Linked DNA regions of Cricetulus griseus. The protein of the gene in region 2 purifies or fractionates together with the protein of the main gene of each other region. This does not show direct contact. Links are inferred from orthologs where the notes say so. Each region holds a gene or a part of one and is shown on either strand. Other genes may lie near its edges.

Region 1 (7,579 bases), on a different chromosome or scaffold from region 2:
ACTAATGGAAGGGTAGTTGATTGGTTAGCAGTCTCACCCATGTGAATAGAACTGGGGGAGACAGCGAGACTAAAGTCAGTGATCACAAATAGAGGCGTTAAGGGGCTGGAAGAGTAAGTCTGACATTAGCATCTGAGACAGTGATCCACACCGGAATGGGGCAGGCCTCAGCGCAGCCACTGGGCTGCTTGCTGACACTCTTTGAGCGGTCATTCTGAAAATCCTTGTTTCCACAGGCAAGAAACTACATTCAATCCCTGGCCCAGATGCCGAAGATGAACTTTGCAAACGTGTTTATTGGCGCCAACCCCCTGGGTAAGTTGGTCACGTTCATTTTGTGAGGTAAATTGGGGACTTGAAGTTTTGTTCTTCTTTAAGTTTATTTTGGGTCTTAATAAATGGCTGTTAGTGTCTGTGCTGTCACATTTAAACAAAAACCATACGATGGGCTTGTATATTTATATGGTCATGGAGTATGGTGGTGGAAAGGACAAGTGCAGCAAAGAACAGAAAACAGAAGGGAGTTATGGGAGCATGAGGAAGAATGAAGGAGGTCTAGAAGCCAGCCACGCTCCTCACAGCTCCTGGGGACGGGTGGGGCCAGGCTGAGGACAGGATGCAGAGGCACAGATGGCACTTCGTGCCCAGCACTGGGTGCTGTTGCCCTCCACTCTGACAGGCTGGCTCTCCCGCCTTTCCTCTTCTCTCGGCCCTTCATGGCCGGAACCAGCAGCCTTTTCAGAGTTAATTTGTCATCTCAGCAGTTAAGAGCACTGGCTGCTCTCCCAGGGGACCCAGGTTCAATTCCCAGCACCCACATGACAGCTCACAACTGTCTGTAACTCCAATTCCATCCAGGTAATCTGGCACCCTTTACACAGACACACATGGACATAAAATAAATAAATCTTAAAAAAAAAAAGATGTGTTTTGCCTTAGTTGAAACTCCAGTTACTGTTCCTTAAAGTTGGAGGCTAACCCATGCTTCCGATGGCCCAGGATGGTTTGCTGAGGCTCTGGTTCCTTGCTCCGTGACAGTGGAGTAGTCGTCCCAGAAAGAAGGGCCAGACCACAGTCTCCCTGCAGTAGGAGGGGAGTGCAGGGGTGTAGCCGCTGGCGTGCTCCACCTCTTCATATCCCTGCAGGTGTAACTGTGGACCTGTTTTTAAATCACGGCAATTGGTAAGTCTGTGTGGGTCATATCCCTGGTTCTGGGATATGGTTCTAGAATTAGTTGTTGTCTTTGGAGAGCTAATGGCCATGGCAGTGGCTTCAGAAGGTGGGATAGGCAGGTGCTGTTTCCCTTCAAGAATGTCATCCATAGCCACAGTACAGAAACGTGGCTGTGGTGATCCTGTAGCTGGAGAGGTGCCCGAACTCTTGGAGGACTGAGTCCAGCCTAAGCTGCCTCACTCTGGCCTCGGGAGTGCAGGGTACTGAGGGTTGGATTGGGTCTGTGGCCTCCCTGGCATGTTCTCACTGGGCCTTCTGTGACATGAGTGAGCTACAGTGCCCAGGTAGCGGTGTGTGAGGTGTGATCTGTAAGCTCTCCAGATGTTAGGGGGATAGAGAATGAGGCTACCCCTCGCACCTCACATTTCAGATGCACACTGTTTGACTCCCTCTTATCTGCCTCAAAAGGATTTCTTCTGCCTTTGATGGAAGTCACACACATCCTGATATGTGTCCCTATTTAAGCACAGACGAGAACCAGCTCCCATGAGTCAGTCCAGACTGCTGGGGAGTAAAATCTGGTGCCCAGTACAGCCTGCTCAATCCAAACACGCAGCGCATTGCCAAGTGCTGGTGGCAGAGGGAACATGCTGTGACCCATAGCTAGTCGTCCCCAACTTGCTAGCTGAACCACACAGCAGTGATATAAATATTAACAGCCCTGTTTTCAGTCACTGGCTTCGAATCACTGCTATTCTCAAAACACCTGAGAGCTCCACCGCCCTTTGATCTTAGTGTTGGCGTCTATGGAGATCCTTGAGATGTCTTTTCCTTGCTTCTGACCTGTTCTCATCTAAGTGCATTGGTCCTAAGATAGTGTAACTTTTTAAGGTAGGGTGGCAGGCACCCACCCATTTGTGTTCAGTATGAAATCAACAGATTTGTAGATGAACATGAAAAGAATATCTGTCTATTCAGGCAGTTCAGCCAGTGCCTCCCAGAATGCTGGGATTACAGGTGTGCACCACCATGCCCAGTGTGTACACTGCTGGGTGTGGAATCAAAAGCCTTGTGCACACTTGGCAAGCACTCTACAAGTTACATCCCAGCCCCTCTTTAAAGCGTGAGGTGACTCATGAATCTGAGCCCACATATGCTTATTTGCTGTTTCCTCTGTACCCTCAAAGCTTGTGCTTCTGTGGGTGACTGTGGAGTTCAGGCTGCAAGATGCATGATCACTCTGATAAGCAGAGGGACATCACCTCTTCAGGAAGCTTTTCTCCTCTTTAGCACCCACAGCCTTCCACTGTGAAGAAATTATCTGGGGCTGGAGAGAGGACTCTTCCAGGGGACCCAGTGCCCTTTTCTGGCCTTCTCAGCCAGCAGGCATGCACTGCTGTGCTCATAGAACTAAAAAGAAAGAACCCTGGGGTCTGAGAGCCTTTCTGTCTCGTTGATAACTGCTTAGGATGGCTTTACCCAAGCAGAACATCCTCCTCCTCAGAATTAGACAGCTCTGTGCCTCCGTCTCTAATGAGGTCATCGCTCTGGGGAGGGAAAAATCAGTAATGCTGAAACCATTATTGAAAGTAACTGATACCAGGAACCAAAATATTCCCCCAGATTACTCACTTGGGGAGAGAGGGGAAAGATCTCAAGATGCCAGTCACCTTTAGCTCCACTGGCTATTGTGCCCACCAGTTCAGAACATCACCTGGGACGTGTTCTTGACCAGTGTGCCTGACATTGTTCCTACCGAAGACTTAGGTCTAATTCTGGCTTTTGATAAATGTAAAGAATATAGGAAGCGGGGTGGGGAGGGGTCCATCCATCAGAGCACAGAGAAGCAGTGGCAGCCTGTGATAGACGATGGCTGCCCGCCTGCAACACATCTGCAGTGTCTGTCGTCAGAGGAGAGCCAGTAAGAAGCAAGGCTGGTGATACAGCCTGTCTGTATCCCAGTGTTGAGGAAGATGTGTTCAAGACCATCCTGGGCTACATAGCAAGGCTGAGGTCAGCTGGTTTCAGAAAGGCTAGAGAAAAGAGAGCCCCATAAGGAAGTCCCAGTTTGAACAAATGTAGGAGACAGCTGTGATGGAGATGTTTTACCACAGACAGGTTTGGGGTTAAAGACAATGTTCTGGTCACGCAGGATGATGTCTGTGTGCTGAAATATTTAGGGTATAAAGTGTCATCTCAATAACCTTAAAACAACTCAGGAGCGACACAGAAATAATGGGGGAAATATGTCAGATGTGGACTGACTGATGCCCCTGCATGGGTCATGGGTGCCCCTCCTGCTTCTGTATTCCAAATTTTCACAGTGAAAGTCTTAAGGATCAGATATCTTTATGTAGTACCTTTTCTTCTGCGACCCTCTGGGAAGCCTTCAATTTGCTATTGTTTGACATTCTGGGTGAATATTTATATTATGCTAGTATGTAATACTAATATGCTAATATAGACTACAATCAAGCTACCTGCCTTGTAGATGGTCTTAGCTGTCGACCTCCAGGCTTTGGCCATAGGGGGCCTCCATTCAGTACAGTTCATTCAGTTGTCACCGTGTGGCCCTGACACTGGAAAAAAAGTTTGTTCACAGCCTGGTTTGGGGGAGTAGATTTTGTTTTGTTTTTGTTCATTTGGAGTGTTTTGTTTCGTTTGAGTTTTTTGAGACTATGTAGCCCTGGCTGTCCAGGAACTCACTCTGTATTTTTCCTCTTGTGTGACAGCTGTGGACCTGCTGGAAAAGATGCTGGTTTTGGACTCAGATAAGAGGATCACAGCAGCCCAAGCCCTTGCACATGCCTACTTTGCTCAGTACCATGACCCTGATGATGAGCCTGTGGCTGACCCTTACGACCAGTCCTTTGAAAGCAGGGACCTCCTTATAGATGAGTGGAAAAGTAAGTTCAAAGGCAGGCTAGGGTGGGTCTCAAAGGGAGCTTGGTTTCAATCTATTCTTGTTTGGTTGCTTTGTTTGTTTTTTGAGCCAGGACTTTTCTCTGTGTTAACAGTCCTAGCTATCCTGGAACCAGCTCTGTAGACCAGGCTGGCCTTGAACTCACAGAGATCCGCCTGCCTCTGCCTCCCAAGTGCTGAAAGGTAGGTGCCACCAACGCAGCTCATTGGACCGAGGGCCTCACACGTGCAACACTCGTGTTCTACCACTGAGCCACATGCGCAGCCCAAGAACTTATTTTTAAAAATATTTTCTGGGCTGAGCAGTGGTGAGGCACACCTTTAATCCTAGCACTTGGGAGGCAGAGGCAGGTGGATCTCAGTGAGTTTGAGGCCAGCCTGGTCTAAAAAGCAAGGTCCAGGAGAGCCAGGCCTGTTATACAGAGAAACCCTGTCTCAAAAAACAAATAAGAAAAAATCTTTTCCGGGTGATTCTCACTTATCAAAAAAGGCTTGGGAAAATAGGGACTCATCAGTGGCAGCCTAGTGTTGTGTACACACCTGTGGGTCAGCACTCAGAAAGTGGGTTAAGAGTTTAGTGTTGCTGGGTGTTGGTGGCGCACGCCTTTAATCCCAGCACTTGGGAGGCAGAGGCAGGCGGATCTCTGGGTTGGAGGCCAGCCTGGTCTCCAGTGCGAGTGCCAGGATAGGCTCCAAAGCCACAGAGAAACCTGTCTCAAAAAAAAAAAAAAAAAAAAAAAAAAAAGAGTTTAATGTCATTCACAGCAACATAGGTAGCTTGAGGCCAGCGTGGGCTATATGAGAGTCTGCCTCAGTAAAGCCCTTGTGAACAGTTACTGCCAGCTCACTAAACTTACAGCCCGGGCCTTCAGGGCGTGTGTTCCCTGATGGAGTGTGTAGATGCTCACAGTGCACAGCTCTTCACATTGACACAGAGCTTTGAGGGGCGGGGGGGAGGGAGGGGCTCACTCACAGCATCTCTTCAGAATAAGTAGGGTCCGATGTATTTTCAGTTTTCCAATTGAGTTTTTATAGCTCACCTTTGGCCTCGTTAGGGGCTGCCTGGAATGGAGTCACATCTCCCTGTCCAGTGTCAGATTCCTTCATAAACCACAAGGCCAGCTCTCCAGTGAGACCCCAGAGCCAGGACTGTCTTCCACTGCGGTGCAGATGCCACACTGCTCTGGGCAGTGACGAGTGTCTGCAGGCAAACACAGCGCTGTCAAGTCTCACACCTTGCCCTTCTTTCCTGTCATAGGCCTGACCTACGATGAAGTCATCAGCTTTGTGCCACCGCCCCTTGACCAAGAAGAAATGGAGTCCTGAACACCTGGTTTCTGCTGTGTCGACCCCACTTCTCTGTGAGGGGAAGGCCTTCTCATGGGAACTCTCCAAATATCATTCAAGTGCCTCTTGTTGAAAGATTCCTTCATGGTGGAAAGGGATGCATGTATGCGTGTAGTGTCTGTCTGTCTGTCTGTCTGTCTTTGTGGCTGGAGTCACTGTGCTAGCAGTGACATCGTGAGTGGTAGTGCTTTCTCAGTCTGGGCAGGCAGATGGGAACTGCTGTCTTGTTAGGGGTATGCTAAGTGCAAAGTAAGAAATGTTAAGATATCCCTGTTCCTAGTTACACTTTTGCCACTCTGGCTTCTCCGGTGGCCCCACCTTTACCATACACCACAGTGGCACAGACAGGCCATCCCCCAGCCATGCATACAGAAGAGACCAGCTGGCTCCTGAGCTCTAGCCTGTGATTGGCTTGCTTAGGATGGTCCTCAGAGCCTGACAGGTGTGTTCAAAGCCGGCAGTCTGTTTGTGCCTTAAACAGAGAAGGACACAGAGAACCGCAGCTGCTCATGTTCTGAGCCAGGTGAACGCACAGGGTTGGTGGGTAGCCAGTGGTGAGCAAGAAGAAACAAGACAGCCTTCAGGGAAGCCGCGCGTGTGTGTGTGTGTGTGTGTGTGTGTGTGTGTGTGTGTGTGTGTGTACTTGTATACTTGTGTACTTGTGTACGTGTGCAGGAGCATGTATGTGTGGCCGCCCTCCCTCTCCCAGGAGCAAGCGGAATCTATGCTTACCCTTCACCTCAGTGCAGAGGTCCCCAGTACCAGGCGCAGGTTCCTGCCTTCAGCCGCTTCCTGTGTGCTCTTCACATCTGGCAGAGTGCAGGTGTGTTTGCATGCTGTGCCCTTGGAGCTTCCACAGCCCCCTTGTCTGTCCTCTTCGGAAAGCCCTGGGACTGCCAGGCATGTGGGGACTTGCTGGCAGTTCCTGTCCACGTTGCCTCCGCTGATGCCATGGGCACAATACTGCCTCCTCACTCCAGCGCTGCTTTGTGTTGAACACAACTGATCCTCCAGGTGCTTGTGGTGCAAGGAGATGCAGGACAGACAGACAGACAGACAGACAGAGCACCTGAACTCTTGCCATCTGACTGTCACCAGTTTGGGGAGGAAAAGAGGCCTCTCCTAAGAATGTCCCCAGCTCTGGAAATCATGCTCCCCTCACTTGTAATAATCAGCTAAGGAATCCTGAACCAAAGTGAGGAACAAAGGCTCATGAGGCCGGGACTCCCTTCACTGTCTTTCTCAAAATTGGGTTGTTAAGAACAAAACCAGGCAGGACCAGTGGCGCCCGTGCTCAGAAGGGTCCTCCCGGCAGCTTGACACTGACTGGTTCTCCGTCTCCGTGTTGATTTGGGGAGAAATCAATTTTGTCTTGGGATTTTGTATGTTATAGGAATCCTTAGAGAATGTGATTCCTTCTGATGGGGAGACAGGGCAAATTATTTTAATGTTTTGTATTTTCACCTTTATAAAGATGAAATCCTCAGGGGTGAAGAACTGTTTGCATAATTTTCTGAATTTCAGGCACTTTGTGCTGTATGAGGACCCGTATATTTAAGCCTTTTGTGTAGTAAGGAAATGAAAAGCCAATTCCAGTGTTGGCCGCGACAGGTCTGTATTAGGTCAAGGTGTCTGCACTCTCAATCAGTGCAGGGTCATGCATGCTCCAGGCGGGAAGGGTAGGAAAGACCCTGGATCGTCTGGAGCCCAGCAGGATGCAGGCTGGCCAGGCCTTTCCACCTCAGTGTGCAGTTCAGGACCTCACCACCCCAGGAACATGTATCCCGGAGGCCATGGCTGGTTATGAAGGCCAGTGTGTGGTTTCCAACTAAACTCTGCTCGGATTACTTACTTTATTGAAGTTGTGTTTGCACATGTGACCATGCTGTGGTAAGAGGCCCTGCTCCAGGGCCTGAACTCAAGGGAGCTGACAGAAGAGCTCCCAGCATCCACAGCGAAATGCTGCCATCTCCCAGTTTCTCTATCAGAAGACAAGGGAATGAGGGAACTGCTGTTTTGTTTGTATTCATGAACTTGGCTGTAGTCCCATATGCCATAGGATGTCAGACAATACCACTGGTTAAAATAAAGCCTATTTTTCAAATTCAGTTGGTTTCTCAAGTTCATTCCATTCCTC
Region 2 (8,338 bases):
TAGTAGGTGGTCCGATGCCACCCACAGAAAGTAAAAGGGGATGATAAACTCACCTGACAAATCAGCTCTAACATGACCCATACAATGGACTTGGTAACATATGTTTGTAATCCCAGAACTTCAGAAATGGAGGCAATGTTTGTGGAAATTTTAGCCTCAAAGGGTGGACTCTGTCAGTCTGTACAAGCTAGGGTCTGCCACCCCATCCCCAGTATATCAACAAAGAGACAGGTAATAGGGGACAGCAGGGATAGATTTATTCACTGTGGCCCCATTGGGAAGAACCAATAAAGAGAACCTGTACCACCCAGTCTGTCTTCCAGGCACTAACAGAGGTTTATGTTTATAAACAGAGAGCAAGGGGTATGCATAATTAATAGTTCTGGTCAAGCCTCTGTCATGGTCTCTGCTGTAAGTCTGTCCTAAAAAATGGTGTGATAAACTATGATCTCTTTTCAGTAGACAGTTTTCATTCTTGGCACTAGGGCATTGGCTTTTTCATTTCACTAGCATGGAATTCCTGGGGAAAATTAAGTTCTTTGGACTCCATTATTCCAATAGTCTTATAGCACAACAGTGGAATTAAGAATTCAAGGCTAGCCTCATCTACACAGCAAGTTTCAGGTCAGCCTGTGTTACATGAAACCCTATCTCATAAACTGAACCAAGGCTCTGTTTAGGCCACACTTGTGAATTCTTTTGTTGATTTCTAGGTGTTGAGTCCCAAGGCCTTCGAACTCCGGGCTTGAGGGTCAGAGGTAGGCAGGAAGGAGAGGTATGCATTTTAATTCAGTGTTTGTCAGTGTTGCCTAATGACACGTTATGGTGCCACTTTCCTGCTTGGAGCATAAGTTGGCCTCCAGGTCTTGCCAGTATTTTACTATCAGAGCCCAAATAGGTTCAAGTCAAAAGAATAATTCCTCAGGAAGCCGGGAATCCACCCAATTATCCACCACCACCTCTTGGTTATTCATTTATCACTGATTTTTTTTAAAGGTAAGTTTTATTCAGTTACTTTGGGACAGGGCTGTGAGTCAGAAGTTGGTATCAAAACCAGAATAGAAGTCACAGTTTTCTCTGGGGATTCTACTCCCGGCTTCGAATCCCCAGATCACAATACTTTCTAATTGGAAAGAAAGGCTTGTAAACAAGCACAGGGATTTGTTGGCCCCTGACACTGACTAAAACGGGCGGTCTAAGGGACTGTCTGAAGATGGATTCACATGTCAAAGTGAAATTTTAAAGTATTTCCACCCCGAGGTTTACTGCTGGATATAAATTGGGCAATCCCACCACAATACACCCCTGCCCCCCTCCCCCGAGCGCAGAAACTCCTAAACTAATTAACGCTGAAACGACATTCAAGCAGTCTTCCCCCAAATGCCTTTGTTTTCCGAGAGATTTTATTGACAAGCTGACTCACGAAGTTCCTGTGTAAACTGACTGTTTCTCACCCCTCAGTCTGCAGACCAATGGAAGGCCGGTTTTATATCTTCTCTATAGCCGGCACTGAGTAGACCTTGCGTTGTATTCACCGAACTGTGGACCAAATGGCTCGCACGCTTCCATTAAGAAAATTATCTAGGGTGCTCACACAGTATCCGGGTAAACACAACGCTGTCATTTAAGGCTCGTTTGCTAACATTCACATGACTGAGGGCAATTCCTGAACTGGGGGAAAGGGATTTTGTTTTGTTCAACATCATCTTCTCAACAAAAGCCTTTCTTAGCTTAAATGTACTAGGTCCGAAGTGGCTGAACCCCTCCAGAAACGGGCGCGCAGGCGCCCACACGCACACGTGGACACACACACTCACACGCGCCTACCTACACCCCCTGCGTGTGACTCGCCTACGCGATTTATGGGCTTCTCCGGCAGGGATTACTGTCAGGTGCAGAAAGCAGCCCTTTGTTCCGTGGGCTCCCCCACCCCCCGCCCGCCCGCCCGCCCCGGATTTGACTGTTATTTACGGGCCACGTGAGCACTGGGCTCCGGCCTGGCCGGCGGGGGGAGGGGGCTCCCCTAGCGCAGGGGAGACAAAGGCTAGCCGAGTGTGGTCAGTGCCACCTGGGGACAACCCACCAATCACCCCCATCCTACTCTTGTAACTCGTGTAAAATCGGCCCCAGACCTGGCTCGGACTGAGACTCTTTGGAGAAACGTTGTGTCAAAACCTTTGTAAAGCAGTCTGTGTGTTTCTTTGCTGCGGCAGCTGAGGCCTGGTACCCGCTGGATTTGTAAACTGCGGGGAACCCCCGCCCCCCTCCCTGCCCACAGCGAATCTGGCTCCGGCTATCGAGGCACCAGGGATGCCTAGGGCAGGGCCACCAATGGCGGGCTAGCGGGAGAAGCAGCATTAGATGTCCTCACACTCCCCCCAACCCCGGTTCCCGCAGCCAGAGAAACCGGACCAAGCCCCCTTTGCCCTCCTTACTGGTGCTCTCCCAGCCCGAGTGACCGGTGTCCCAGACCCTGCCCCAGTCAGCCTGTGTCAGTCTGTTATTGTGGCTCCTTCCGGAGCCCGGATTAGTGTGATTACTCACTCCAGGCACCAAAATTTAAGGTGCAATGGGAGTCACTTAAAATGGCAGCAACAAACTAATCCACACGTAATAATTTATCCTTTTAACTGAAAAAAAATCCATGAACAAAATTAAAAATTTAAGGCAGAAACATGGTAGCACCATTTTGGAACCTGAGGCTAAATGGAAATATCTTCACGGATGATCAGCGCCCCATACAGCCCACTGGACCCAGATCGGTGTGTCGGGGACTTCAGAGTGCTCGAGGAAAGAGTAGGTAGAAGGCCTTGGAAATGGGTGCTGGGTGTGAGCCGCTCTGCAGGGAACAAAGCAGAGGGCAAGGCTAGAGAGCTGAAGTGGGCAGAAAGGACCTTGAGGGTTCGGCCGCCCTCTTCCACCCGCGACCTGAAATGGAATACTGGTCCTCGCTACCACCAAGGCCGCGAGCGAACCCCGTAATTCCCTCGTTCGGTGATTAATTCTTGCTAACAAGACTTGGCAAGATCGCGGCAGAATAATTTTTGGCTTCTGAAAGGTCTCCACCGTGTGCGTGCACAAACCTCCCCTCTTGCCAAAAAGCCCTTGGGAAATTAAATGCCTCTGGCAAAGTAAAACCCGGGTGCGGACACTACGTGACCTAGAAAGAGGGAATGCAGAAACTCGAATCGCCTCTGAGCTTATTAAATTCGTTCAAAAGATTAGTCTTCGCATGGACACTTTCCGGCACCTTCCTTAGCACCAAATGTGGACCCTAATAGTCATTTCCTGAGAGGACAGTTCGCGTGTGTCCGAGAGGGAGGACTTCCTGCGAAGAGGAAAACGTCGGGGTGTTCTCCCCTCCCCAACCACGTAAGCTTAGGCATACCATTCGGCTAATTAACGCCCCCCTCTGGGTTGTAAAGTAACAAACTCTACACTTCTCTTTTGTTACTGGGCTTTGGCGCGAGGATCTTCCCTTTCATCTTCTAAGCCAGGGTTTGCCCATGTTCCACGGGAAACTATAAAGCTGAAATAGGCCAGGGTGGAAATCGATCACGCTAATGTAAAAACCAACGTCTGGGGAATCGCATTAAAAACAAAACGAAGCACAACCGGCACGATCCCAAGAGCAAGGTTAAGTCCTGCGAGAGGAGGTCCCAAGCTCTGTGGGTGGCAGCCACACAGCGCCCGGGTCCACTGAGCTGCAAGGAGCCAGACCTAGAAGACTGGGCCGCGGGGGTGGGGGGGATATCGCAGAGGCGAAGACCTCCAGCAAGAGAGCCCAGGCCTTGGTTAGGCCGGCGTCGCCACCCGCTACCATCTCTGCGCTTCCGCCGCGCTCCGGCGCTATAGAAGGACAGGGAGACGCGCCGCAGCTCCATTCACAAAGTCCGGGAGCTGCCGGCTCGCGGGCGGGTCGGAGGCTGCCTCCTTTTTCCTCTAGGTCTCAGTTTTATGAATGGGCCTGGCAGCAAGCACCGAGCGCCCTGTTTACTCCTCTCTTTGTGACGTCGAGTTCCCGTGACTGGGTGCGAGGGGGCCGGCCCTCCATTCACGAGCTGGGGTGGGGGCGGGGCTGGGCGGGGAGCTCGCGCGGGGGGCGGGGCCTGGCGAGGTAGTAATGACTCTTCCCTCCCCCGGGAGAGCCGGCGAGCATTAATAAATCTCTAAGCCGAGGAGGTAACTCTGGCTGGGGTAGTGCGCGCAGCTCCGGCGGGGTGTTGCGTGGAACAGCGGCGCCCGAGCGGTTGGCGGCAGGAGCAGCAGAGCTAGCAAAACACATTAGAGGCAACAAACCGAGGGTAGCCCTCTCTCGTAAACACACTCCCCTCATCGGCTACTTTCCCCCGGGGACCGCGTGCCTGCCTGCTTTGGAACCGGAGAAGGCTCCGACTGCTATGTAACGTCGAGTCTGCGGGTCGAGGAAGGGGTACGGGGAGAAGAGACTGGGGCCAAGTTTGCGGCCACTTCGATAGGCGCCCTCTTAGCCCTAGCCTGCTCCTTTCTGTAGCCTAGTTGGCCCGGGTGCCCTTGGTCTTCTCCAGCTCCCCAGCTGCTGCAGTTCCCGGCGACATGGTGACGATGGAGGAACTGCGGGAGATGGACTGCAGCGTGCTCAAAAGGCTGATGAACCGAGATGAGAACGGCGGCGGCGCAGGCGGCAGCGGCAACCACGGCGCCCTGGGGCTGCTGAGCAGCGGCAAGTGCCTGCTGCTGGATTGCAGACCGTTCCTGGCTCACAGCGCAGGCTACATCCGAGGCTCGGTTAACGTGCGCTGCAACACCATCGTAAGGCGGAGGGCCAAGGGCTCAGTGAGCCTGGAGCAGATTCTGCCCGCCGAGGAAGAAGTGCGCGCCCGCCTGCGCTCTGGTCTCTACTCGGCCGTTATAGTCTACGACGAGCGCAGCCCGCGCGCCGAGAGCCTTCGCGAGGACAGCACCGTGTCGCTGGTCGTGCAAGCGCTGCGCCGTAACGCCGAGCGCACAGACATCTGTCTGCTTAAAGGTAAACGTGGGCGCCCGGGCGCGAGCTGATGGGTAGGTGTAAGGGACTTGGCGGCCTGCTGGGCATGGGAAGAAGTACTCGAGTGACTTCGGGCTGCGGGAGTCCCCGTGAGTGTCAGTGTGCACGGTCTTGCCGTGGTTTTGAGCCCAAGTCTGGGGCTGGGGGAGTGCTGGCGTGTTTCTCCAGCCACCTGCCACCCGCACGCTTCCTAGAGTTACGTGTTTATTGACAAGAACAGCCCTGGCCTGGATGCTGGCAGCAATTGCTCTGCGCAGGCCAGCTTCGAGTGCTGAGATCGCACTCTTAAATTAAGTCCCCCAGGGACAAGAGAGGCCTGTTGGTTCGGTGTGACCCCGAGAACCCTAGAGACGGGTGAAGGAAGGTGAACGCCGAGGTGGGATCTGCCTCGAGTGTTCGTACACAATCCTGCCTTTGGTAAATGCTGGAAGGAGAATTGGGTTGCAGAGCTGGGGAGCGTTCTAATCTGTCTCCCGCTGCCCCAACTTAGAGCTTTTCTGGAAGGCGGCCAACTCTCCCTGCCCTGGGGTCCTGGAGCGGGGAGACTGGAGTGCTGTATTGGGGGACACCAGGCAGAACCGCGTCTCCTCCCGCTAATCCTGGCAGCGGAGAATCACTACCTTTTGTTCACACACCATTCTCGACTCTCTGCTGGCGGCGCGTGCCTGGTTGAAGCGAACCCTGGCCTAAATAGGCGGCCGGAGAGAAGGTGGCTTCTCAAATGTAGAAGTCAGATACCTCCAAAAGATCGCACACTGTCCTAGTCCCTGGAGAAAGGGACCGATGGCTCGCCGCACCTGCCAACCCAGCGTCTGTGCGGGCCCTCCGGCTGCGGAACCCGCGGTGAGCGCGGGGGTCGGGCGCCCCCTGCCGCGCTGCGCCCTTAGCTCCGGCCGCCGCATTCCGCGCATTCTTTCGCGCGGGTCGGGTCTTCGCTTTTGAACCCGGGAGGTATTTCGGATCCCCGGCTGCCAAGAGCCGCCCCTTTCTCTGTGGAGGCGCTTGGTCCCTTTTATTACACTTTTATTCCAGGAACCTGTCCACCGGGAGGAAGGGAGGCTGGGTGAAAAACCCTTTTCTCCGATCCCCTCGGAAAAGCACTGGGAAGCTGCTGGGTGCGGGCGAGCGGGCCCTGCGCAACAGCGGGGGGCTTTGTTCTCTGCAGTTGTTTCCTGACCGTTTGACCCGTCAGCTGCTGGGGGAAACGCTGCTGTTGACCTGAGCCTGAACTGCTAAGGCGATTTTGCTTACTTTTCTTTCTTTTTTCACGAGGGCCGCCTTTTGCTTCTCCAGGGGAGTCCTAGTCTCTCGGGCTTTTCCCTAAATCGTTTTAGGAGCGACGGCCGGGAAGACTCGTCCCGGATCTCACGATCGCCCAGCGGTCAGAGACGAGCCCTACAGGGTACCCGGAGCCCCGGGTCAGGCTCAGGTCCCGTGTTCTTCTCTCGGAGGGGTCCTGCTTGGACCCCAAGCTGCACGTCTGTGCTATTGTTCCAGCCTGCCTGCTCTTCCCAGTCGAGATCGCGCGGGTGGGAAAGGTGACACTGTATTGGGGTGGAAGTTGGGGAACTCTCTCTGGCTGTCCTGGGTTCTTCAGCCCTTGGATTGAGAAAGCGGGGCTACACCTTCCTACTCTGGCTTCGGGAGAGTCTAACTAAGCCCCACGTGGAGTCAGGGATTGTTTTGTTTTCCTTCCTGGAAAAAAATCCGTAGGGGACCGCCCTGGAGAGGCTGCTGCTGGCCTTCGTCCTGAGCGCTTTAAGGCTTCCTTCCGGGCCGCAGGCTCCACGACCTGGCGCACTGGGAGGGTTAAATTTCATGGCTCGCAGCACTCTGCAGTCGCTGATTGGGATCCGGAGACCCGGAGGCCAGACCAGTTCTGAAAACGCTTCAGGGCAAATACTGACGTAAGAAGGGGGGGGGGAGCGGAATAGGACAGGTGGCCTCTGGGCAAAATGACAGTCCTCTCCGTAATGGGTGGCCAAACGCCTGGCCCAAAGAAAGCATTTCCTTCAAGCCTTGCTTGACTGATCTCTGCCTTCCCATCTCCTTCCCTTGCTGTTTGCCCTTGCTGGGCAGGGAGGATCACCCATGCCCCTCAAAAGTCAATGTCTTTTGAGGTAGCGCTCATCTAGCCCGGGCCACAGGCCTGGACTGCTTTGTTTTCATATGTTCAGGAACAGCTGCTACCCCAACTTCATCACCACCCCTAGCCAGAAGTTCAGCATGCTGCCCTTGGGAGCAAAAGCCTAAAACGAGGGTGGGGGAATGTTGTTGCCCCTCGTTCTGTAGAGGTAGCAGAACATCTGTCAGCCAGCCGTAGTTTACGTGGATGTACATACCCAGCCATGACCTAGTCCCTCTTCCTCCTCTCTGCCAATTATTGACTGGCCTTGGTAGAGAGGGTAGCAAGAAAATGCCTGCTGTAGTCATGGGGACTAACCCCACTCCCAACCCCCGGGTGCCAGCCTAGAAGATACGGCTTGTTGGGAGAGAGTCAAGGCTCAGAGACCTGATATGAAGCCTGGTAGGTTTGTGCTTAGTTGTTAAAGGCCAGGTAATTTGGCTCAGCTGGGGTAGCCAGGGCCTCCTGCTGGTGGAGTGAGGGGGCAGACAGTGGGCAAGTGGGAGGGAGAATGGTGGGTGTCTGCCATCCTTGGGATGGGGAGACAAAAGAACGGTTTCAGAAATGGTGTCCTTCCTGGCCTAAGCAATCCATCAGTTTGTTGTTGGCCACCCCCTCTCCAGTTAGTTGCCTTGAAAGAAATCTCAGTTTTCCTATTTTTTTGTCACGTAAAAGGATGATTGTCAGTAGTTAACAGTGGATTTTCACAAGCAAGGGTTCAAAAGCAGGAATTAAACTTAGCTGAAGTATTGTTAGTCTTGTGTATCTGCTGCTATTGATCAAGGTTTGCTAAAAGTAGTTAACTAAAGTCTTATGTTTTCTTTTTGCTAGTAAAAATCATGGGAAATACTTTAACTTAAAATCCTATAAGGCTCTGGGCAGTGGTGGTGCACACCTTTAATCCCAGCACTCGGGAGGCAGAGTCAGGAGGATCTCTGTGAGTTCAAAGCCAGCCTGGTCTACAGAGTGAGTTCCAGGACATCTAGGACTGTTTCATAGAGAAACTCTGTCTCCAAAAACCAAAAAAAAAAAAAAAAGAAAAAAAAAGAAAAAAAATCCTTTAAGGCTTTTTTGGGACAGTTACTAAAATTAAGTTTTTCAGATTTTAATCTCAGCATACATCTTTCAGATTCTTTCCTTCCATAACTGTTCCTAGACTTTTAGGAAAGCCTGGTTTTTAAAATAGA
Region 3 (7,873 bases), about 140 Mb from region 2:
CGTTTTAGGCCAAAGATAAGGATACGATCTGTACCTGGGAACAAAACACCACCTTTGATCATTTCTCCCATGATGCACCCAACTGACCAAATGTCAACTGAAAACAAAATGCAATGACATTAACATAAAGATTTGGTTAAAATAAAAAGAAAAATATATAAACATTAAAATAAAACACACACACCATATACACTTAAAATTATAAAAAGCAATACAAAATAAAAATGAATGACAGTGAATGTGCTCTGACTACCAGCAGAGACTGTATGTCCTGCTGCCAGGTGCAGCCTACAAACACTTCAGTTTCTTTGCTCAACAGTTTTTTGAACTATAACAGCCACAAACTTTACATCTATTAAAAAAAAAAACCTGTATGTATGTACAAATGTACAATATATTCCTTTTCATTAGCAAACAGAAGGAAGTTCATCACCTAGCTAAGTAATTTGCTGCAGCAGCACAAGGATACAGTCCCTTCCTGGAAAGAGGATTTTGTGGCAAACCATTTCTCCCATAATGCACCCCACAGACCATAAATCCACTATATGTTTGCAGCACAAAAGAAGGAAAAGCAAAGCAAAAGGTCATTAAAATCAAAGAAGCATAATATGACTGCATTATCTAAAAAACTGCAGAACATCACAAAGAAAGGTGGTTTGAATTTCAAATAATGGAATAATTTAAAACACAAAATGCTTTTAGAAAAGCTTTGAATCACAAAAGAAAATATGGAGTGGCATTTTAATTACATATCTAATTTTAAAGTGAGAGCTATGCACAGAAACTGGATAAATTAAAAATATACATTTTATAACTGTGAATGTTTATAAAATGTAAAGTAGAGCCAAACAAACTATAAAGTTAAAAATGTATATGAGGTCATAAAATTATAAAAATAAGATGCACTATTTTGAGGTTTAACTGTGCATTTTACTCTCTCTTTAAGTTAAATTTTAAAAGCACAAGCAGAAATAATCTAGCATATTAGAAACAGAATGTCTCTGAATTTAATAAAATGTTAATCTAAAGTTTTCCTCAGAAAATTTCAAACTACATTTCACAGGCTTATTGAACTGAAAAGGCTTTGTTTGTATGTTCTGAATTAAAAGTCAGTCATTTTCTTCGCAACTTCATTTTACATTTATACCTAACCTCTACCAAAAAAAAAGGACAAATGCAGAACAAGAACAGCTTATCTGTTAAGAAACCTTGGTAAACACAAGTGTTTTCAAGTTTTTTATTTTAAAATACCAAAGTACCTACAGATTTGTGATCTATAAAGAGTCTCCTAGCAGATCACTGTATTATAAAACTTGCTACAAGGGGATGAATTTGCTATCAGGCAGCTTAAAATAGATTACCCCAAACTTTTTAAAGCAATCTGAGGTTCTCTTCTCTCTCCCCCTCTCTCTGTGTCTGTGTGTGTGACAGAGAGAGAGAGAGAGAGGATAGAGAGAGAGAGGCACTTAAAAGAGGACATCTGTATGTCATCCCCTGCTGCTAATGGTAGTTATGAAGAAGCATTAGATTTGACTGGGCTCCTGGGGGAACAGGCAGGAAAAGCAATGAGATGATCTATGTGACTGATCTGAGAGGACAATATGTCAATTCCTTTTTTTTTTGGATAATTTTTTAATTACTTATTTTTATCTTATGTGCACATGTCTGTATGAGGGTGTCGAATTCCCTGCAACTGGCATTAGACAGTTGTAAGTAGCCATGTGAGTGCTGGGAATTTAACTCAGGACCTCTGGAAGGACAGCCAGCGTTAAGCACTGAGCCATCTCTCCAGCCCCAATATATCAATTCTTGACAACAGCATCTCTAATTTCTGGTAAGGAGCTATGTCAAGACCATATTTACAAGGATACCAACACGTGGTGCAATTTATATAACCAAAAGTTTCACAGAAAAGCAATTAGCAATATGCTTTCTAGTTACCTGAAATGTCATATTTCAAAACAAAACATTTAAATCTTATGCTGAGACTAAGAAAGCAGAATATCCTGTTTGTTTAAATAAACTGATATCTAAAATATTTGTTTTTAATTAGCTCAAAAAAGAAAAGGAAATTAAGCAAGGACCTAAATTTCAACAGTATCATTGTATGTATGTATGTATGTATGTATGTATGTATGTATGCATGTATGTACATATGCATAAAGAATCTTCAAGACTGACAATAATTTTCTGATTCAAAGTGAACCACTGTTCTAATTCCCTCCCTAGAAACACATTAAAAAGTTTAACATATCCACACATAATAATATATTCAATTTCCTTAAGGCTGGACACAGGATTTTATGCAACACTATTATTTCCCACAAGAGGTTGCATTATCCATTAATTTTTCAGAATTGAGCCTTTATGTAGCTCTCAGTTGATATTGAGTGTTATTATTAACACTGACTAAAGGTGTTGGAGATGAGAGCAAATATGACTACTATACACTAGAATTACTACTAAGATTAATTAAAAGGTATATGCTCATGTTGAAGTTACAGACAAGCAAAGGGCGTAAGTTATGGTTTTAGAATTCTTTAGGAGTAGGACTGATGGAAAGTACTCACATTTAAGATAAGACCCCCATGCTTTCCCAAATATGTATGGTAAAATGCTCAGATTCTTGATATACATTTGAAACATGGTTAATTCCATGCACTTCAATTTAAGTACAAATATCTTACTGATAAACTAAATCAAATGAGTATTTCAAAGTGAAAATATATGCTGACCGTTCTCCTTGTAGCCCATGCCGAGGATGACCTCTGGTGCTCTGTAGTAGCGAGTCACTACATAAGGCGTCATCATGAAACTTGTTCCTGCAGTCCTCGCCAGTCCAAAATCAAGAATCTTCAAAGTGCAGTCTGATTTGACTACTATATTACTAGGCTTTAAGTCCTTCAGGAAATAAACATTAAAATGATTGCTAAGACATATATACAAAGGTTTCACTACTCAACTGAACTACATAATCTGTTAAACAGTTTAATTGTTCACTGTTTTCACTGCAATATAACTACAGAGATTCAATACAAATAGGCAAACCCAAGAAATCAGATTGAAGATATTTTCATTTATATGAACATAAACCCAGTATGAAGTCAGTAAAGCTCTATTTCCTAGAGATCAGTATTAGCTAGAAATTCTTGGTCAAGTAGAGCAAGAGATTTGGAAAGACATCTTAAAGCTCACTTAAGATCTTTTGTGTGGGGCTGGAGAGATGGCTCAGTAGTTAAGAGCACTGGCTGCTCTGACCTGGGTTCAATTCCCAGCACCCACATGCCAGCTCACAGGTGTGTCTGTAACTCCAGTTCCAGGGGATTCTATACCCTCACACAGACATACATGCAGGCAAAACTGCATAAAAGAAATAAAAAATAAAACAAACAAAAAAGACTTTTGTGCTAGGCATAGTGGCCTATCCTTTGTAATCCAATTCTTGATACCAAAGCAGAAAGACTGGAAGTTTAAGATACACAGTGTACTGCTTAGTTTTTTGTTAACTTGACATAACAAGCTAGAATCATTTGGGAAGAGGGGACAACAACTGAGAAATTGCTTCTAACAGAACAGCCTGTAGACAACTCTGGGGGGTACTTTCCTAATCAGTGATTAAACTGAGAGGGCCCAACCTACTGTGGGTGGCGCCGTCCTGGGCAGGTAGTTCCGGTTGTTTAAGAAAACAGGTTGAAAAAACCATGGAGTTGCAAGCTAGTAAACAGCACTCCTCTAGGAAGTCGGCTTCAGTTACTAATCCAGGTTCCTGCCCCGAATTTCCTCAAAGATGGACTGTTACATAAGATGAAACAAGCCTTTTCTTCCCCAAGTTGCTTTTGGTCAGTTTTATCACAGCAATACTAAGCAAATTAGGATACATAGCAATACCCTGTGTCTTAAAATACCAATCACAAACAATAAAAGAACTACTATGGTAGTTCTTTACTCTCTACTATGGTAAGAGTCATAAATTAGCATTTATATTCATCTGCATACTAAATTAATAGCATTAGAAATCTCATCCTAAGGTCACAATGAGCTTTTTATCACTTTAAACCCACTATGAAACATTCTGCAAATAGTCACGTGATATTGACATAACCTTGGCATATGTTATTGGAACATTCATAGTTATACATGTTTGCTTTTATGGGGAGAAGGCTTGGGATCAACCCCAGTTCAATAGACACTCATTCTAAAGGACCAAAATAGTGACTATCAGCCTGCCCATTCCTGACTTCCCACATAAAATCACAAATATTTGCTCATAAACATTTGTCCACATGTAGCACACATTAGTGTGCTGGGGCCACTGGTCCATAAAATTGCTTTCTGCTGGTAGTACTAAATAATGTCTTTGTGAAAAACTGCCACTTGGCTCCAGCCAGAAAGAAATCTGTTTAATGCCTATTAAAATGAAGCAGTGGCATAAATACTCAGGGCTTCACATTCATCATGCTTTTGCCTGTTAGCTTTAATGAACTCTCATATCCACACCACAATCACACTATCTCACATGCACAGATGAATAGCAGATACTAACACCAAAAGCAAAGACCCCTTTAAATGTCTACATGCAGGAATTGCTTATATGCTGTTTCTAACAGGCCATCATGCAAAGGCTTCGGGAACAGACTCAGGACTTTAGAAAATTAAGAATATTAAGAATATAGAGTTATTACAGCATAAGATAAATGCCATCATTGCTGTTCTGCAAATATAATGTTGCTAATACTTGTGAAATATAAAAAAAGTATATAAAGCAAAGGAATGCCCATTACAAACTTTAGTATCACTTTCATGTCTGCTGTTACAGCTGGAGATTACTGGTTCTAGTCTAGCTGGTTCTAGTCTAGAAAAAACGCAAACACTTTTTGTTCTGGAAGGACTATGAACAAATACAATTTTTTTTTTAAAGAAACAGTTTAAGAAAATAAAGTGTCAAGAGTATTTGGCTCTAAGAATATTAACTAAAATTCATCTTTATATTGTTAACTACATATGGAAGAGTGACTTGGAGTTTACATTTGTGCAGAGAGAGTAGAAGTACCTCAACATTCAATTTTCCTCCCCAATTTTCTAAGCCTCTCCAGTCAGGCAAGGTGGAATGAGTAGACCTAGTAGGTAGTATCTTAATGGGAACAAAGTGGAGGAAGGCCTCCTGTGGCTCTTCTTGCTTTGGTGAGTAAGAACACTCCAGGTAGTGGGCTTTCTTGGCACCAGGATTGTTCAGCATTTCTATAAAACCATGTCTCCCCCCCCCCCCCCGCCCCCATGATCTGCTTGTACACATAATATGAGAAATAAACCTTAGTTATGTTTAGTTAAGAGTCTGATAATTGTTATTGTACCTGAGCCTACTTCAAGTTGAGTATCCCTACTCTGAAATCTGAAAGGCCCAAATTTAAGTCATTTTGAGTATAACTGACAGTACTTAAAAGGTTGTTATATCCACTTTGATGTCTATGCTAAGGAAAACTTAACGGTAGACTCAAATTAGTTCAAGGGTACAGGGTCCATCATGTCAGAGCTTTGATTTTCAAGAAATCTGTATTTCTAACTTTCAGATTTAGGGATGCTCTAAAGTAAAGTCTATGAAAATATCTAAAATCTAAAACATTCCAAATCTGAAACAATCTGGCCCCAAGCATTTAAGATCACAGACAACCTGTGCAAGAACACAGGGCCATGAGCTGGTGACTGAACAGCACTGAAACCAGTAACAAAATGGAGAGAGATCCTTATTATGCAGATGCAAAAATATTTTTTTATGTCATCTGCACAGGACTTGCAGAATGAACAGGGGCTGACAATTGAAAGCCTGAGTGCATTTGCAAAGTAAGTTTTCTGTGTACTTAGACAGCCCTCTTGTTCCACATTATCTATATGTGCTTTTGTGATAGAAGGGCAGAGTCCTCTAAGTAGCTGTGGCAGAGACCTTAGAATGTGGTCTTTACATAAACAAGTTCTTGAATTCCTGCTCTAGAAAAGGTTGGAAAGCAAACCTTTGTCTATTGGTGGCTACTGGCTCCACTGGAAAGAACTAGCCACATTGTAAGTAGAAATGGAAGATAATAGTGTCATTATTTTGGATAAGCTAAATGTTCCTACAACCCAGAAAAAGCTGACAGATGGTATAGTTCATCCCTGGACCAAGCATCATCCTTTTATATGCCTATCCTTGTTTTAGTTAATGGAACATCAAAGAATGTGATGCTCACCAAATCTGAAGAGAAATTCTGGACATATTCGAGTTAACATAGTTTCTGTCCTTTTACCTTATACCATGGGAAAACAAGGTCCCTGGGAAGTAAACCTGAACCTGACCCAATGTATGGAACATAGCCCAATCCTGAGGCTCCTGAGCAAGCACTGTGCTGTTTCAAGCCATGGATATTCTTGGCATGTTTCTATACACCATTTCCCATAACAAATCTGAAAGTCTTGTCAAATCCTCAAATTGATGATATCAGTCAGTCTGTCCAAAGAAGCCTGAAAGTGTGAAGGTAGACTCAAGAGAGCTTCAAGTAAGTCCAAGAATACAGAGCCTGCCAGCTAGTATGTTTTAAAAAGACATACAATTATAAAGCTACACTTCTTTTAGTTGCTGATAAAAGCTTCACTATGAAAAATAAAACTCTGTTGTCAAGAAAGCTGCTGAGCATCTTACATGGGCAGGACAGCAACAAAGAAACTTTCTGCTCCAAATGTCAATAAGATACTTGTGCTCCTGTCTTTCATGGGTAGGAAGCAGGTAAAGAAAGCTGAGCAGCCAGAGTCCACAGCTTTCAATACTTACTTGAGATGTATTTAAGAAGGAAAGGAAGATTCCCATGGGGAGCAGCCAGGTAATGTGGACAACAGTGGACAGACTGTACTGTGCAGAAATCAGATTCAACTCCTAATGAGTAAGCACTCCCACCTCCAGAGGGAAGACCACTTACAATGTCCATTCAGCAGGACTTCAACTGCCAACTAATCAACCACTGTTTCTTTCAGTTTTCCAATGAGATTGCTGTGGCTACCCTGGCCCCATCTGATTGTTCTACTGAGGGAACTCAAGGAGAGGGAAGACAGAGCCAGTTCCTATGTTTTTGTGCCCAAAGGATCAGTGTCTGAATCTGATACAGATATCAATGTGTGTGCCTGTTAAGGAGGTGTGCAGCAGAGCAGCAATGTCAGCCAACCACAGGCTATGGCAGGACTGGTACTCAACAACATTCATGAGTCTGCTCTCCCCAAATTTTCCTATTCTTTTATAACTAGGTAGGTCTTTATGGCTAGCTCTGCTGATACACTGAAGAGGGGTGATGTGTGTCACGTCTAGACCAGCACGTTTAGGCAGTATATTACCAGGTAGCTGTCTTTTGCTGTCACAGTGAGAACTAGTTAGAGGAAGTCTTCCTCAGCATGGGTTTCTAAGGACATCTGACTGAAGTCCTTGGAGGAATAGAAGTTTAGACTGTCTCTTAAGCCAAAGAGTAGCTGCAGAATGGCAGAGTTCAAGTGAACCTAGAAAGGAGGACAGGTGCTGTGAGGACTAGATGCAAGATTGGCAGCTACAGTTTATCATGTCAATTTTTTGGTAGTTGCTTCAGAAAAAGACAGCAAGGGACTATCTTGCCAGAACAGACAGAATTTAGTGCCTAAGACAGTGAGAAGAGTGATCCAAGGAGTGACTTCAATAGGCTCTGTGATGTCTGTTCAGATCCTTGGCTCAGAGATACGGATTCTTCCATTTCCCAGGAGGAATGGCTACTGGTGGCCTTCAGAAAACTCCTCCAAGAATGACCTGTTTTTAGCACAGAAGTTAATAGGAGCCCCAGCTGAGGCTTTTGAAATAAATATAGTCAATGTAATTTCTCATTTTGTC

The links.
Region 1: the proteins of Dusp4 (region 2) and Mapk14 purify together in Homo sapiens (affinity purification with mass spectrometry; 3 studies listed by BioGRID and IntAct, with this or other methods). This does not show direct contact. The link is inferred for Cricetulus griseus from reciprocal best matches to the Homo sapiens genes DUSP4 and MAPK14.
Region 3: the proteins of Dusp4 (region 2) and Mapk8 purify together in Homo sapiens (affinity purification with western blotting; 3 studies listed by BioGRID and IntAct, with this or other methods). This does not show direct contact. The link is inferred for Cricetulus griseus from reciprocal best matches to the Homo sapiens genes DUSP4 and MAPK8.

The regions. Positions count from the first base shown.
Region 1 is NW_023276806.1:233,853,343-233,860,921, forward strand, and holds the end of Mapk14 (mitogen-activated protein kinase 14), read left to right. Parts: intron 1-236; coding exon 237-315; intron 316-3,905; coding exon 3,906-4,079; intron 4,080-5,353; coding exon 5,354-5,421; 3' UTR 5,422-7,550; downstream 7,551-7,579. UniProt on the Homo sapiens protein: Serine/threonine kinase which acts as an essential component of the MAP kinase signal transduction pathway.
Region 2 is NW_023276807.1:50,091,258-50,099,595, reverse strand, and holds the start of Dusp4 (dual specificity protein phosphatase 4), read left to right. Parts: upstream 1-4,137; 5' UTR 4,138-4,575; coding exon 4,576-5,008; intron 5,009-8,338. UniProt on the Homo sapiens protein: Regulates mitogenic signal transduction by dephosphorylating both Thr and Tyr residues on MAP kinases ERK1 and ERK2.
Region 3 is NW_023276807.1:186,007,907-186,015,779, reverse strand, and holds part of Mapk8 (mitogen-activated protein kinase 8), read right to left. Parts: intron 2,902-7,873; coding exon 2,736-2,901; intron 542-2,735; coding exon 470-541; intron 98-469; coding exon of another isoform or gene 26-97; intron 1-25. UniProt on the Homo sapiens protein: Serine/threonine-protein kinase involved in various processes such as cell proliferation, differentiation, migration, transformation and programmed cell death.